2 linked regions of the Alligator mississippiensis genome follow. The protein of the gene in region 1 purifies or fractionates together with the protein of each later gene. This does not show direct contact. Links are inferred from orthologs where the notes say so. Each region holds a gene or a part of one and is shown on either strand. Other genes may lie near its edges.

Region 1 (7,529 bases):
CAAGAGGAGCCAGGCAATGGCAGCCCAAGGGTTGGGGCTGGCTCCCTGGGGCAGCAGGAGCAGAATCTCCACCTGGCTTCTTGCTGCCTGGGCAGTGCAATCAATGCTTCCCTCCTGGCAGGATGCTCTCCGGGTCAAGCAGCATCAGGAGGCCAAGGAGACGGAGTGGCTGTACAGAGAGATGGAGGCCATGCTGAAGCAGAGCCACTTGGAGCGTGCCTCGGTCATACAGGCACAGCAGAACCGCAGCTCTTTCCAGCAGATCCTCAGGTAGTGCGAGGCGTGGCCTGGCCCCAGGATGACAGTGGGGTTGCAGGCCCTGGAGAGTGTGCCTGTGGGGGAACTAAGCTAGGGCACATCAGGCTTGCCCTCTGCAGCTCTGGCTGAGCCTGGGGTGCACAAGCTGCAGTGGAGACAACCTGGCTCGGGTAGACATAGGACCCCATGTATGCGGGAGGGGGTGGGCCAGCCCCAGCAGGAAGGTCATGGTCTTTCCAGCCTGGGCTGGCCCCTATCACCAGCACTGGCATTTCCCCCAGGGAGCAGGCACTGAAGGAGCAGAGGCAGCAGGAGAAGTGGGCGACCCAGAGAATGGTGGATGCCAAGGACATTCAGCACCAGATGCAGAAGTATCAGGAGAAGCTGGCATGTGAGCGGGTTGTCTCCTTTGAGGACAAGAAGCATCTACAGAAAGAGAGACAGTGGCATGCTGACCACATTGCCCAGCTCAAGAGGCAGAGGATAGAGGAGCTCCGGTGAGGGTGGGACTATGTAGGGGCTGGACTGTGGGTGCTTGCAGGGGTGCTGGTCTTGGGGCGTCGCCCACCACATCTGGCACAACTCATGCTGTCTCTCCCTTTGCCATGTCCTAGGGCAAGCTGAGCCCCTGAGACTTGCCAGCTGGTGCGGGAGCAGGGCAGGGGGCCCAGGCCCTGGGCTAAGGGCAGGACGGCTGCAGCAGGACTGGCCAGGCCAGTGGTGGGAGCTGGTTGGGAGGGCGGGAGGCAGTTCACCTTACTGGGTGCTGCACCAAGCTGCCCTTCCTGCCACCTACTCTGAGCCTCGTTTCTGCCCTCCATGCTCCCGTGCTCACTGGGGGCTGGCTGTCCCCATGGGAGCAAAGCCAGAGCAGAGTCCCTCCAGCTGGGCTCAGCCGTCACCTGTTGTCACAAGTCAGCCCTGGTCCCGGGGGGCCAAGGTGCCAGATGTGTTGCTGAGCCCCTTGGGGCTGGCTTTGGGCCCTGGCACAGATGGAGATGCCATGGCAGGTGGCCCTGTACCATGTCTTGCTCCATGGCAGTGGTCTGGGCTCTTACTAGTTTTTTTCCTGTTTCCAGAGCCACCAGCCCACCCGAGAAATACTGCCTAGGTGTGGAGTGCGTGGGCTTGATGAAGCCAGGCCCCAAGGACCGAGGGTCTCTGCGCACTGCCCAGCCCATGCCAGGGGACTTCCAGGGGGTCATGTGTGGCCTGCCCCCAGCCTAGACTGTTTATATTCTTGGATTTAGAAATTGTAAATAAATGTTTGTGAAGGTTTACCATACGTCTGGGTTTTCCTGGACATGTCCACTTTTTGGATGCCCCCATCTGGGTGTTTTTTTAAAATATCAGCAAATGTCCAGGATTTTGCTTTACCTCTGCCCCAGCAAAGGAGTTGCTGGGGACAGCGGGGAAAGGTGATTGGAGGCAGGGCATCACATGCAGCCGCAGGCAGCTGAGAGAGAGAAAGCATGTGTGTGTGTGTGTGTGTGTGTGTGTGTGTGTGTGTGTGTGCCCACACATGCTGAGAGAGAGAGAGGGTGTGCGTGTGTGTGTGTGCATGTGTGCGTGGGCGTGCTTGCCAGTGCTGGGTCTGCAGCAGAGTGGGGGAAGGGAGCGGAGGGGTTCTTCGGGGGCAGCAGGGCTTGGGGGGGCAGGGGGCTGCAGGTCAGGAGTGAGGGGTATCAGCAGGCCCTGCTGCCACTGTGTCCCACTGAAGGAGGAGAGTTGGACCTCGCCCAGGTTTATTTTGGAGGCTCACTGGTGCCCCTGGAGTGCAAGGCTCCATTACAGCAGAAACTTAGTGCTATGCCCAAGGTCTTCTTGCTCCACGAATGAGACATGGGGTTGGCCATAGGGATAGAGCACCACATACGGCTACAAGACACTAGAGCATTTCCTGAACGATCACAGAGGATTGCACTTGCCTTCCATGCGCTGGCTGCCCGGCCACAGAAGGCACGTGGTGTCGTGTGCGGCTCCCCATGTTCAGACCCCAGCATGCAGCAGCAGCTGCCCCCACCCCACATATAAATCTGGGGGGGCAGGTAGCCCCTGTGCCTAACCTGGGGTGCACACAGGTGGGAGTCTCCCTGATGCCCCGGCAAAGCCTATGTCATCCCAGGCAAGATAAAAATGGGCTTGGGATATGACGCTGAGCTCTGCAGGCTGACTGTGGCAGGCGGGTGGGGGTGCAGAGCGACACCGAAGGTGGGGCCTGGCTGGGCCCGTGCAGCTCCACGAGGGGATGCCACCTGGCTCAGGGGGGCTTTCAGCTCTGGGCTTGGCCTCCCTGCACACTGGGCACAGTGCGAGCAGGGCAGAGCCATCCCTGCTGCAAGGGCCTGGCCACGGGAGCACCTGGGAACAGCTGCCTGCAGCTGCCCCAGCCTGCCTGAGCCCTGGCCCTGCCCACCTGCAACTGCCCTCAAGGGGCTGGGGCCAGGGCAGGTGCTGCGCGGGGGCGGCTGCACTGCAGGCTCCCAGGCGGCTCAGCTCTGAGCACTGCCTGCAGCGGCTATTTCCGGAGCCCACGGAGTCCATGCTGTGGCCCAGGGGGCTCTGTCCAACTTGTGCTGCACCTGGCATGCACAGAGCCCAAGCCAGGAGAACCCCGAGCCTGGTGTCCTGCCCCGGCCAGGCAGCGTTCCCTTGTGGGCAGGGTGGCTGTGACCCATCCCCGTGGGGCTGCACAGCCTGGGCTGGGCCCCACCTCCGGTACTGCTGAGCATCCCCCCTGCAGCCCGAGTCGGTGGAGCCCCAGGGGAGCCCCTGCTCCCCACCTGGCCCCTGCTCATCTGGCTGCAGCCTTCCCAAGGGCCAGCCAGGCCAGCCTGACTGCACTGCCTCCCCTGTCCCCCCCAACACCTGCTCTCCCCATGCCTCTCCCTTCTCTTTTTTTTCTCCATCTCTCTCTTCCCTCCCTCTCTCTCTTCTCTTTCTTTCTCCTCTCTCTCTCCCCCATCTCTCTTCTCTCTTCCTTCTCTCTCATCACAATGTGCTTAACAAAAAAGAAGACACAAGAACAAAGGTAGCACATGAGGTTTTATTTATTGTCACCAGGTTTAGAATTTTGAGAAAACCTGCTATTTACTGTAAAAAAAAAAAAAGAAGAAGCAGCCACATTTATGATTATTAACTATATTAATCTGCAGTGTGTCCTGCCATGCAGCCCCCACCCCAGGTTTGTTTTTCTGGGGTGTCGGCACTCTGGCACCTTACAGCATACACAAAGCAGTTTTTTTCAGTGCCCTGGCCGAAAACGTTGCCTACCCCTGGTTTACACCGTCTTTTTTTCCAATTTACAATTGTTTTATATGGCTACCGTAACCGGTAAAACAATGTTTTATGATTACTAAAGGTTTTGATGTTGTATTAATACACAGCCTGTTACCTATGTGTATGAAAAATTTGCTGGTGGTACTTAAGCCTGTAGTGCATGTACATGGTTAATAGGATTCACATGGACTTGGAAGGACTTCTTTGAGGTGACTTTGCTGGACTTTTTGAAGGGTTCTCGGCTGCTGTGTCTTCTCAGGAGTCCCGGCGGCAGGTTTTTCTGGAGTCTCACCTGCTTTCTTAAAGAAAGAGTCCAAGGAAGTTTGCACAGATGAGTTGAGCGACGCAGTGAACTTGTTCGCCGGCGTGGCGTCGTGTCGGATCAAGTGCCATAAAGTCGCAACTGAGGTCAGAAGTTGAAACAGGGCGTCCGTTTATAAACGTTGTAGGTGGGAAACGTTGCAACTCGAAACGTTGTACAGCGCTGCGCCTAGTCCAGCGGACAGGGCAAGAAGTAAAGCGCAAGAAGCGCAACCGAGGCTGCGGACTGCGCAGAGCTGGACGCCCGGAGCGGGTCAGCCCAGGCAGCGCCGCCCCCGCCCACCAGGGGCGCACGCGCGCCGCACGCGGGGCCGCATCCCACCCACACGGGCGCAGGAAGCCGGCCGAGCTCAGAACGAGGCGGGGGGCGGGGTCTGCGGTAGCTCCGCCCAGCTGGGGAGGCAGCGGCAAGATGGCGGCGGCGGGGCCGGACCGGGAGCTGGACGACCTGCTGGACAGTAAGGCCGGGCGGAGCCGGGGCTCAGGGTTGCGGGAACTTCCTTCTTCACATGCGGGGGCCGCCGGGTGCGGGAGCGGGGCGGGAAGGGGCCTCCTTCTCCTCCCCCGAGCCGGGTCTTTGTGCCCCCTCCCGGCACGGCACGGCACGGCACGGCTCGGCTGCCCGGCCCGCGAGGAAGAGGGTTGTGTTGTTCTCCCTGCGGTCCCATCCTCTTTGCACCCCCCCCCCCCCCGCAGCTATTCACCCCCTGTCTTCTCTAGGCAATTGTTGTGCCTTTGTTTTGTTGCCATATGGGAGAGACGCCAGCCTCTGACGTTGTCACGACATCAGAGACGTTCCCTTCTTGGCACGCGCACGTGCCGCGGGTTAAAAAACACGGCTCTTTGCAGAGGTGCAAATGGCACGTGTGTGTGTGTGTGTGTGTGTGTGTGTGTGACACGGTTTCCACGATGGCGCCTCTTGGGAGCACTGCCCTGGTCAGCCGTGTGCAGGGGGTGTCCGACGGGCCTCTCAGAGGTCTAGAGCAGACGCCAGCATCCGAAAGGCAAACCCCTCCTGTGGGTGCAGCAGTCGGCGTTTCCAGGTGCTGCAGCTGAACCTGGCTTTAAGGCGCTGACTGCCAGCAGCATTTGAACCCAGAGGTCCCCGGAGACCAGCACCCCCCAGCGAAGCAATAGGGGCCCAAGTGCTTCGGGAGGGGAGTGGAGCTGCCGTGTGGCCGTGCCAGCTCCTCCCGCCTTGGCTGTTGGGATGCTGAGCCGCCTGGGTCCCGGCTTCTGCAGCGGCCTTTTCGGGGGTGCCAGCCTGAGCCTGAAGAGCTTGATTTAAAAGTAGGAGTGGGATTTCAGAGCACGGGGCAGTCCCCGTGGAGGTCAGGGGCTGTCGCATCCTCTCGCAAATGCTGTGTCGTATTCACTCGGAGCCAGTTGAATCCTTTCACCACCCCTCACTCGGGAACGTTGTGCAGGGATGGCTGCAGTTACGACTGGGCAGCTCAGGCTCAAATGCAGCTGGTGCGACTGAAGGAACAGTTATGTCACCCGTAGGTCGGTGACGGTGTGCTCACATCCCTCTGTCCCCAGTTGAAGCTGCATCTCATCCGCAGCAGGTCTGAATCCCCTTAGCTTGGAGAGCAGTGCGAGGGACTGGCTGGGCGCTGGTGCAGAGTATGGCTCTATACGTGACATCCAAAGACATGTAGTGAACTGCAAACGTCTTGGCTGGCTTCCTCCATGTCATGCTGCTCAGGACTGCCCTGGTGTTGTGGCCTTGGTCTGACTTCCCTTATCTCCCCCTTGTCTGGGACCTGTGTGGTCTTATCCCCTCATCTGAGCTCTCTGCTTTTGCCCTGAAGGTGCTCTTGATGACTTTGACAAGACCAAGCCGGCCCCACCACCCCCAGCGACTGCCGGAGCAGGAGATGCCAGCAGTGCTGAGAAGTCTCCTAACGATGCTGCCAAAGTAAGAGCAGTGACCACCCATGGCTGTATGGGCTGGAAGGGTACGGGGAAGTATTTCCCTTGTCTTAAGCTTGGGCAGAGTTGTTGAACTGGGAACACGTAGCATTTTCTCCCACCCAGTTGTGCAGGGACAGTTGCGCACTATTCAGCATCTTCATCAGTGACTTGTGCAAGGGGGTAGAAAGCACCCTGTTCAAGTTCGCAGATGACACTAAGATGTGGGGTGAAGTGGGTACACTAGTAGGAAGGAACAGGCTGCAAGCAGATCTAGACAGGTTACAGGGGTGGGCCGAAGAGAACAAGATGGGGTTCAACACTGACAAGTCCAGGGTGCTGCACCTGGGGAGGAAGAACCAGCAGCACACCTGCAGCCTGGGGAACTCCCTTCTCACCTGTGTTGAGATAGAAAAGGATCTTGGAGTCATTATTGATGCCAAAATGAACATGGGCTGACAGTGTGGGGATGCGGTCAGGAAGGCCAACCGTACCTTGTCGTGCATCCACAGATGCATCACGAGCAGGGCCAAGGAGGTGATCCTCCCCCTCTATGCGACACTGGTCAGGCCACAGCTGGAGTACTGCATCCAGTTCTGGGCGCCGCACTTCAGGAGGGATGTGGCCAATATGGAGAGGGTCCAAAGGAGGGCCACCTGCATGATCAGGGGTCAGCAGAGCAGGCCCTATGAGGAGAGACTGAGGGACCTGAACCTGTTCAGCCTCCAAAAGAGAAAGCTGAGAGGGGATCTGGCGGCAGTCTGCAAACTAGTCAAGGAGGACCAGCAGGCATTGGGAGAGTCCCTGGTCCCCCAAGCAATCCTGGGAGTTACAAGAAACAGCGGACACAAGCTAGCGGAGGGTAGTTTCAGGCTAGACATTAGGAAGCACTATTTCACTGTCAGGGCGGCTAGGACCTGGAACCAGCTTCCAAAAGAAGTGGTGCTGGCTCCTACCCTGGGGGTCTTTAAAAGGAGGCTGAAGGAACATCTGGCCGGGATCATTTGACCCCAGCACTCTTTCCTGCCATGGCAGGGCGTCGGACTAGATGATCTCCTCAGGTCCCTTCCGACCCTATCAACTGTGAAACTGTGGGTGGGTGGGATGGTCTGGTTCTGGAGCCAGGCACCTCAGTAGCTCAGTAGCCACTTCTCTTCAATCTCATGTCATTGCAGTTGACTGGTTTTATTGCCAGCCTCAGAAGCAGGCTCTGGATGCCCTTGTGTCTTGCATTTACACCTCCGATTTGCTGGGGCACATGTTGAAAGATGAGTCCAATGACAGCTGCCCCAGTCCAGTCAAGCTCAGTAATTGGCAGGTGCTTGGGGTAAAGTTCATGACTTCCAAACATGGTGGGCCAACAAGTGTCCCCAGAAATATTTCCCATTGTGGTAAATGCATTAGGATCCATCTGTGGCAGGGTCTGGGCTGAGCTCAGATTCCTGGAGCGAGATCTGGCCGTCAGAAGTCCTGGCTTCTGTTTTGGCTCTGCTACAGGTTCTTTGTGACCACAGGCAGGCAGCCTCCCTGTTTGTGAAATCGGGATAAAGATGCTAGCTGTATGCCTTTTCTGCCGCCTGGTCTCTTGTGACTGAAAGTGTGCCCATGCAGGCCAGCTGACGTGCCTGGACTTGACATTTGCTGTTCCCAGAATGTTCTGTACCTGTGGGATGGCTTTTATGAAGACTTGGAGTGTTGATCTGTCTAGTTTGTTCTTGCCCAGGTGTCTGTCTGAGGCTAAATTGGGAATTATTGCA
Region 2 (7,403 bases), on another chromosome or scaffold:
CTTAACAGCCAGGGCAGGCCCTGATGCCCATTGTGGCATGTGGAGGTGCTGCTGTACTATGGGCAGGAAACAAGCACACCGGCAGCTGATGCTGACCCCAGTGCAGCTCTAGGGAGCAGCTGTGCGGACCCCAACGCTACACAAGATGGGGCAGAAAAGACATTTCCTGTCAAGCACCAGCCACCCTGGCACTCTGTGTGCCAGATCCACCCCTGTCAGGAGTAAAGGGGGCCCCAGCCTCCTCACAGTCATAGATCCCTGTCCAGCTGGAGGCTGACTGAGGGCAGGCCCATCCCAGCATGTAGACAGGTGAAGCAGTCACTACAACACGCTTTATTCACACGTACGTTCAAATACACACACAGGCCTAATGCTAGGGGTGACAGAAATGCTCAGCAGCTCTGAGAACCAAGCCAGATGCCACTGCAGTTACTGGAGCCTATGTGCAGCCTCCTTGTCTCCAAAAGCAACCTTCAGTCACAGCTACGATGGGGATGGGCATTAGACTCTTGGGCACCATTTCCTTGCCCACCCCCTCATTCACATTTCCTAGTCCCAGCCAAGCCTATGCATGGTAGAAGGCTGTTCTGGGATGGGATAGCCCCTAGGGAAGGAGGGGTGCCCCCAGGCCCACATCACAAGAAACAGTCCTTCCCAGTCCATGCTTCACAGGCTTCTTCCATTCTCTCTAGGCATGCCATGAGCCATGACTTTGCTGGCAGGAGGTTACTGTCTCCCAACAAGCATTTCCTAGTGTTTGCTCCATGCCTCAGCATCAGCCCCAGCATATTACACATTGCCTGGGCCCTCATAGCAGGATCCACCTGATGACATCCAACTCCCATGGAAGCACACTCAGAAAGGCCCTTGTATGCACACACATTCAAAGGTGGTGCCCCCTGTCCTCTGAGTGTGGAGGCCTTGGACTGTTCACAGATGCTCCCTGAATCCCCTTGTACAAGTTCTCCGAGGTGCAGTGGAGGATGGAGAAGCCCCAGCTGGCCCCTCTTACCCCACCGTCAGGAGGGCGCCGGGTAGGGGCAGATGCTACAGCTCCTTGCTGAACTCCTGCACAACGGTGTAGCCCAGCCAGCTTCGCCCGCCAGTTGCCTGGTAGCCACAGCTCTCAAAGAGGTTCATGGCAGCCTTGGCGACTACTGAGGTATAGAGCACGACACGCTCATAGCCTTGTTCTCGGGCCTGTGCCTCCAGGAAGGCCAGCAGGTGCCGGCCCACTCCAGATCGCCGGTACCAGCGGCTGACAGCCAGGCGCTTTAGTTCTGCTGCGCGAGGTGGGCCTTGGTCCCAGGGCTCCAGTGCCACGCATCCACACACATCATCGCCATCGTACACCGCCACCCAGAGGCCCCGCTGGCCCCCACAGTAGTAGGTATGCAGGCAGTGGAGGTCAGCGGACCGCCACAGGAGCAGCTTGAGGGCCACAATGGTGAGCAACACAGGCACCAACAGAGCAGCCACAAAAGAGTTGAGCAGGAAGCGGAGGGCGCTGCTCACTACAGCCATGAGCAGCAGCACCAGGGGTCGTGTCAGGACATACAGGATCAGCCGGTTCTCTGTGTCTTTAAAGCCATCCTGTGGAGGGGAGGGCAACATGAGCATGGGCAGGGACCATGGTGTGGCAGGGAGGGGCACACTGTCCAGGCAGCACAGGTGACGGCACCAGCTGGGCTGCGCCAGGCCCAGAGAGCATAGAATGTGGCTCAATCCAAAGCTGTAGGTGAGCCAGAGTCTTCCTGAAGGGTGTACCCCAGGCTGGAGTAAGGGGCACCTAGGTGGAAAGGAAAATGCCCCCAGCAGTAGAGCTTGCTGAGTTCAGAGGCAGTTTGGGAAGGCAAGGGAGGCAGGACCTCAATCCAGTATTTCTGTCACAAGTACAAGACACAAGACACAGGCAGAAGCTTGGCTGCCTTTGATTTTAGGGAGATGGGTAGAAGTCAGAAATCCTGGGTTCTACTGCTAGCTTGGTGACAGGAAGGGGACCCAGGGGATTAGAGTAGGGGACTCCTGGGCCTTGGAGGGCTGGAGCAGATGACTTGTAAGGCAGTGATTTTCAACATTTTTAGCCTAAAGGTGCCACTCATCAGACTTGAGGCGCCCCTCAATAACTTCTGTGAATTGAGAGGCGCCCCATTTAAAAACTAATACATGTATTATAGTACTTACCTCCTTGCTGGCAGACTAAGTAGTGTGGGCAGGGGAGCAGCCAGGCAGGGAGAGCCTGAGCCTGCCCATATCCAATTATCTCCCCACACCTCATCTCCTAACACAGTGTGCCAGCACCCTGGTAGTGAGTCACTGCTGTAAGGGCTCAGTCTCCACAGCTTACCAATACAAGCAAGGCTCCAGGTTGAGGCCCCCACTGGAGGTGCCCGTACCTGACTGAATGCACCCAATCTTGTCTAAACTCAAAAGCTAAACAGTGCTGGGCCTAGTTAGCAGGTGGAGGGGAGACCATGCAGAAATCCTGGGTCCTGGAGGCAACCCTGGCTGGGGCTGAGCAGCTGCCTGTCCAGCTGCTTTGCTTGTTTGGCTCTGGCCCAGACTGAGAGATGAGCCACAGGGCAAAGAGCTTCCACCCTGGGGCGCCTGGCTGGTCCTGCCTTGCTCCCTGCTGCTGCGGTGCAAGGCAGGTGTCTGGCATCCCCACAGGGCCTGGATCCTGCACCCCAGCTTGGCCCCCACCTCTGCCCTGCTGGCTCTCACCCCATCCAGGTCTATGGACTCTTCCATTTGGGGTCACTGTCTCTGCCCATGCCTGGGCCCTGGCACCAGGGACAAGCAGGTGGCGAAGTGGGCTGGTTACTGGGGGAGGGGGAGAGAGTTGGGGGCAGGTACTATGGGCAGAGCCAGGGACAGAGCTTGGCCAGACACAGCAACCGGCTACCAGAGCGCCCCCACCCCCAGGGAGACCTTCAGCAGCTCCAGGACGATGGGTGCCTCCTCCTCCCGCATTCTGCGCACGGCGAGCTGGGCAAGGTCCAGCACGGGCATCGTGGCAGCCAGGCGGGCCCTGCGGGGCAAGGACGGGCAGGTAAGCGCCGGAGCCCGGACGAACCAGGCCGCCCCCGCGCGAAGCACAGGGGAGGGACCCGGCGGCCCGCCCCCCCAATGGTACAGCCGGCAGCTCCGCGGAACGGAGCCTCAACCAACCGCCTCCCCCGCGCCGGATGAATGGATCCGCCCGGGGCCCGCGAGCAGCCTCACCCTCCCTGGCGCTCAGCCGACTCGGCCGCTCCCACTGCGCCTGCGCAGCCCGCCCACCGGCCGCTTCCCTCCCGGCCCCGCCCACACTCCGCTGTTCTAGCACCAGGGAGGGGCACCCGCACTATGGCGCTGAGCGTGTGCTGCGGCCCAGCTGCTCGGAGCCGGGCTAGGGCGCTGCAGTCAGCGAGCGTGGAGGGGGTACGCCGGTAGCCTCACAACCACCAACCCTGCCCTCCACCCGCCTCCCCTGCGGCTGAGCCGGGATCCCTGCCCCGACCCGGCCCTGCCTGGGAGCTTGGCGCCTGCCCGAGGCCGGGTTGGCTGTGCGGGGCGCCACCCCGCCGGCTGCCCGCCGCGCCCCGAACGGGGCAGGTAGAGAGGCTGCTCCCCGAGGGGATCCCTCCTCCTCCCGGTGGGCAGTTCAGCCCAGCCCTTTCCCGGCAGCCCTCTGTTCCAGTCACCCCTGCTCCCCACTTCGGGCCACTACAGCTCGCTCCCGGCAAACTGAGTAAACCAGGCACAGACCCTTCATAAGCAGTCCTTTATTTGCCGCCTGGGCTGAAGCAGCTGTGTCCTTTGGGGAGCAGTGCCAGGTGTCACTATGGAAGAGATAGGATCCAACCCAGCCAGGGGGCTCAGGGCAGCATCTGGGTGGCAGGGAAGTGGTGCCTAATGGCTTGGGAGACCATTGCACTTGCTCCCTTGTGCCACAATGCCATCTCCTGCCTGGGAGAGCAATGGGTTTCCACAGATCAGCAGGCAGAGCTGTGCCCACCCAGGCCCCTCCCCCAAGAGAAAAGCATGTTTGCGTGTACACATGCAGCCTCACAGCACTGGCCCCTCCTGCAGCTAAGAAGAGACTTAGCTAAGGTGGCCTAGCAAGGCAGACAGTCAGGAAAAGAACCCAGGAATCCTGGGCAAACCTACTACCCACTCACTCCTCCCCTGCAGAGCCAAGACACAACCTAGGAGTCCTGGTTCCTGAGGTAGCCTGCTCTGGACCTCTGGACCCCACTCTCCTCCCAGCCCTGGAAGAGGCTCAAACACTAGAAGTGAGCAGAGGCTAGAGAAACACTCTGGCCAGCTCCCATTGCACCTCTGCTCAGGGACAGGCAAACAGCGCCTTGCAACTGGAGTCCAGCTAGACAAGGCTAGGGAAGCACTCAGGCCAGCTCCCACTGCACCTCTGCTCAGGGACAGGCAAACAGCGCCTTGCAACTGGAGCCCAGCTACACAATCCCACGCCCAGCTAGAACTGACTCAGCTCTGATGACATGGATGTCAGGTCCTACCAGCCCTATGCCTTGGAAGGCTACAGCCAAGGTTGGAAAGGCAGTCAGGGGCTGCCTGCGCTCATCAGGCAACCCAGAGCCCTCTGCTGCAGCCAGCTGGACAGTGTCTGTAGTACATGGCATGACAGTAGAGGAGGGGACATTCACCCCAAGTTCAACATGCGCTGGCACAGTACTGGCCAGCAGGGCAAGGCAGGCACCTGCAAGGCCAGGTGCATGGGACTCAGAAGGTATGAACCAGCTGCACACTGGGCACTGTCTGCACTATTTGGATGGACTGCAGCTCCTGGGGAGGTGGCACTGGGCTTGGCAGCAGCTGTACCATCTGGGTGTTGCCAGAGGAGGGCTGGCCACTCCCTGGGCTGTTGGGCACCCCCCGTGCCTGCAGGGGGAGCTGTCCCACATTGGGGCCTGGGAGTCCTGGCAGTGCCTGCAGACCTGACACGTTCTCCAGGACCTGCAGGGTCTGCTCACTGGGAGTGCTGCGGATGATGAAGAGCTTCTGCCCCCCAGGAGCCGTCAGGGCCCCTGATCCGCTCTCTGGGGGCAGCTCTGGTAGGTTCTCCACTTCCTGCACACAGAAGCGGGTCTGCTCCCCATCAGCACCACGCAGTACCAAGACGTTCTGCAGTCCCTCAGCCGTCTGCAGCATCTCCAGGTGCACATCCTGCACCCCTTCTAGGCCACTCACTTCAGTCCCTGGCCCCAGCAAGTCATCACTCTGTGCGCTCTGCACCACAATCAGGTCCTGGCCCTCTGGCAGGTCTGCCATCTCTTGCCCAGCATCTGCAGGGAGCTGGGCACTGGACAGTTCATGGGAGCTGGGAAGAGTTTGAGCCTCCTCTGCCTCCAGGGAGCTCTGCTGCAGGGCCTGGATCTGGATGCTGGTCACGTCCTGAGGCTGCGACAAGGCTGGGATGCCAGTCACCTCAGGGGGCTGTGGCAAGCCCTGGACTTGGACATTAGTTACCTCAGCAGAGGGCTGCTCAGGCATGTTCTGCAGCACAATAACATTCTGCCCGGTCTGGAGCCCTGGCACCCGCTGAGATCCTGGCAAAGTCTGGATCTGCATGCTAGGCAGTGCCTGCCCGCTGGCTGGCACCAGAATGATGTTCTGGCCAGGCTGTGGTGGGTTGGGGTTACTGGGGGCAGCCTGCTTCTTGGCCTTGCCCTGCCGGCGGGGGGGTGGCTTGCTGGGAACTGTGGGGCTGCTGGGCATCAGGGTGATGTTGGGGGTACTCTGAAGAATGGGCACTTTCTGGTGTGGGGACACCATCTGCGGGCTGGGCAGGAGGATCAGCTTCTGGGGGCTCTGCTGGATGCTGGGGATCAGCTGCAAGCCCTGTGCTGTCTGCACCAGCAGGAAGGTCTGGGAGTTAGGGGCACTGGGTGGGCTAGCCACCTCTAGATTGAGGGTGGCCTGCAGGTTGGGCACAATGTGCACCTCCTGGGTGCTGGGTGTGAGTGGAAGGCCCTGGGCTGGCATCTCACTCTTGGCCTCAGGGGTACCTGCCTCGGTAGCGTGCGTGCGGAGGTGGCGCTGCAGGTAAGAGGCCATGACGAAACCCTTGGCACAGACAGGGCACTTGAAGGGGCGCTCACTAGAATGAGTTCGCTGGTGCAGCTGCAGGTTGGAGGAGTGGGTGAAGGTCTTGCCACACTGCTGGCAGGTGTAGGGACGCTCACCTGTGTGAGTACGCTGATGCTGCCGCAAGTTGGAGGTCTGTGTGAAGGCCTTGCCACAGACAAGGCAGGTGAAGGGGCGCTCACCAGTATGCAGCTGGCGGTGGCGCCGCAGGCAGGAAGTGTTCTTGAAGGCCTTGCCGCAGTCGGTACAGCTGTAGGGGCGCTCACCTGTGTGCAGGCGTAGGTGGTACTGGTAATGCGATGACCACTTGAAGGTGAGGCCGCACTCAGCACACTTGAAGGCACGCAAACCAGTGTGCACACGCTGGTGGATAGACAACAGTGAAGAGCGCTTGAAGGCCTTGGGGCACTCCAAGCACTTGTAGGGGCGCTCCCCAGTGTGGTCTCGCAGGTGGTAGCGCAGCCCTGATGAGCCTTTGAAGGCCTTGCCACACTCTGTGCACTTGTAGGGGCGCTCAGCTGCCTCAGCAGGGGCTGGGGCCAGAACAGGGGCCGGAGTTGGGGAAGGCTCAGTTGCTGACTGAGGGCAGGTGACCTCAGCCTCAGCCTGAATGAGCTGCTGCTCAGCAGGGTGTGTGCGCTGGTGTGCCAGAAGGTTGGAGAGCTGCACAAAGGTCTTCTCACAGATGGAGCACTTGTAGGGTCGCTCACCAGTGTGGCTGTGCTGGTGCCGTGACAGCCCTGACCCATTTTTGAAGGCCTTGCCACAGGTGGGGCAGGTGTAGAGTGGTGCAACAGGCAGCTCCTCAGCTGGCAGAGGCGGGGCCGCCTCCAGGTGGCTCTGCTGGTGGCCCAACAGCAGTTCCTCACTTTTGAAGGTCAGTTCACAGTCCCCACACTTCCATAGCATCTCCACAGTTTCTACTGCCTCTGCGGCAGCAGCCAAAAACAGCTCAGTTGGTGCACAGGCCAGCTCGGCCTCACCGTAAGCGGTCGGTGCCTTAGCCGCATGCGTCTGCAGGTGCTTCTGGAGGTAGGTCTCCGAGACAAAAGCCTTGCCACAAGCCTGGCACTTGTGGGCCCGGCTGCTGGCATGGGTGCGTTGGTGCAGTAGGAGATTGGAAGAATGGGTGAAGGTCTTGGTGCAGTCAGCACACTTGTAGGGGCGCTCACCTGTGTGAATGCGCTGGTGCTGCCGCAGGTTGGTGGACTGGGTGAAGGCTTTGCCGCACGCTGTGCAGACATAGGGGCGCTCGCCTGTGTGGATGTTGCGGTGACGCCGCAGGCTGGATGAGTTTT

Evidence for each region.
Region 2: the proteins of PEX19 (region 1) and NAT14 purify together in Homo sapiens (co-immunoprecipitation; 3 studies listed by BioGRID and IntAct, counting the BioPlex papers as one, with this or other methods). This does not show direct contact. The link is inferred for Alligator mississippiensis from reciprocal best matches to the Homo sapiens genes PEX19 and NAT14.

Annotation. Positions count from the first base shown.
Region 1 is NC_081838.1:21,135,045-21,142,573, reverse strand, and holds the start of PEX19 (peroxisomal biogenesis factor 19), read left to right. Parts: upstream 1-4,212; 5' UTR 4,213-4,270; coding exon 4,271-4,316; intron 4,317-5,672; coding exon 5,673-5,779; intron 5,780-7,529. Other genes in the region: cilia- and flagella-associated protein 45, read left to right, coding at 1-270, 540-755, 1,338-1,485. UniProt on the Homo sapiens protein: Necessary for early peroxisomal biogenesis. Acts both as a cytosolic chaperone and as an import receptor for peroxisomal membrane proteins (PMPs).
Region 2 is NC_081828.1:84,026,793-84,034,195, forward strand, and holds NAT14 (probable N-acetyltransferase 14), read right to left. Parts: upstream 3,295-7,403; 5' UTR 3,226-3,294; intron 3,219-3,225; exon of another isoform or gene 3,172-3,218; intron 3,032-3,171; 5' UTR 3,013-3,031; coding exon 2,932-3,012; intron 1,594-2,931; coding exon 1,048-1,593; 3' UTR 319-1,047; downstream 1-318. Other genes in the region: ZNF628 (zinc finger protein 628), read right to left, coding at 4,741-7,403. UniProt on the Homo sapiens protein: Probable acetyltransferase. May act as a transcription factor that regulates the expression of coproporphyrinogen oxidase by binding to a promoter regulatory element.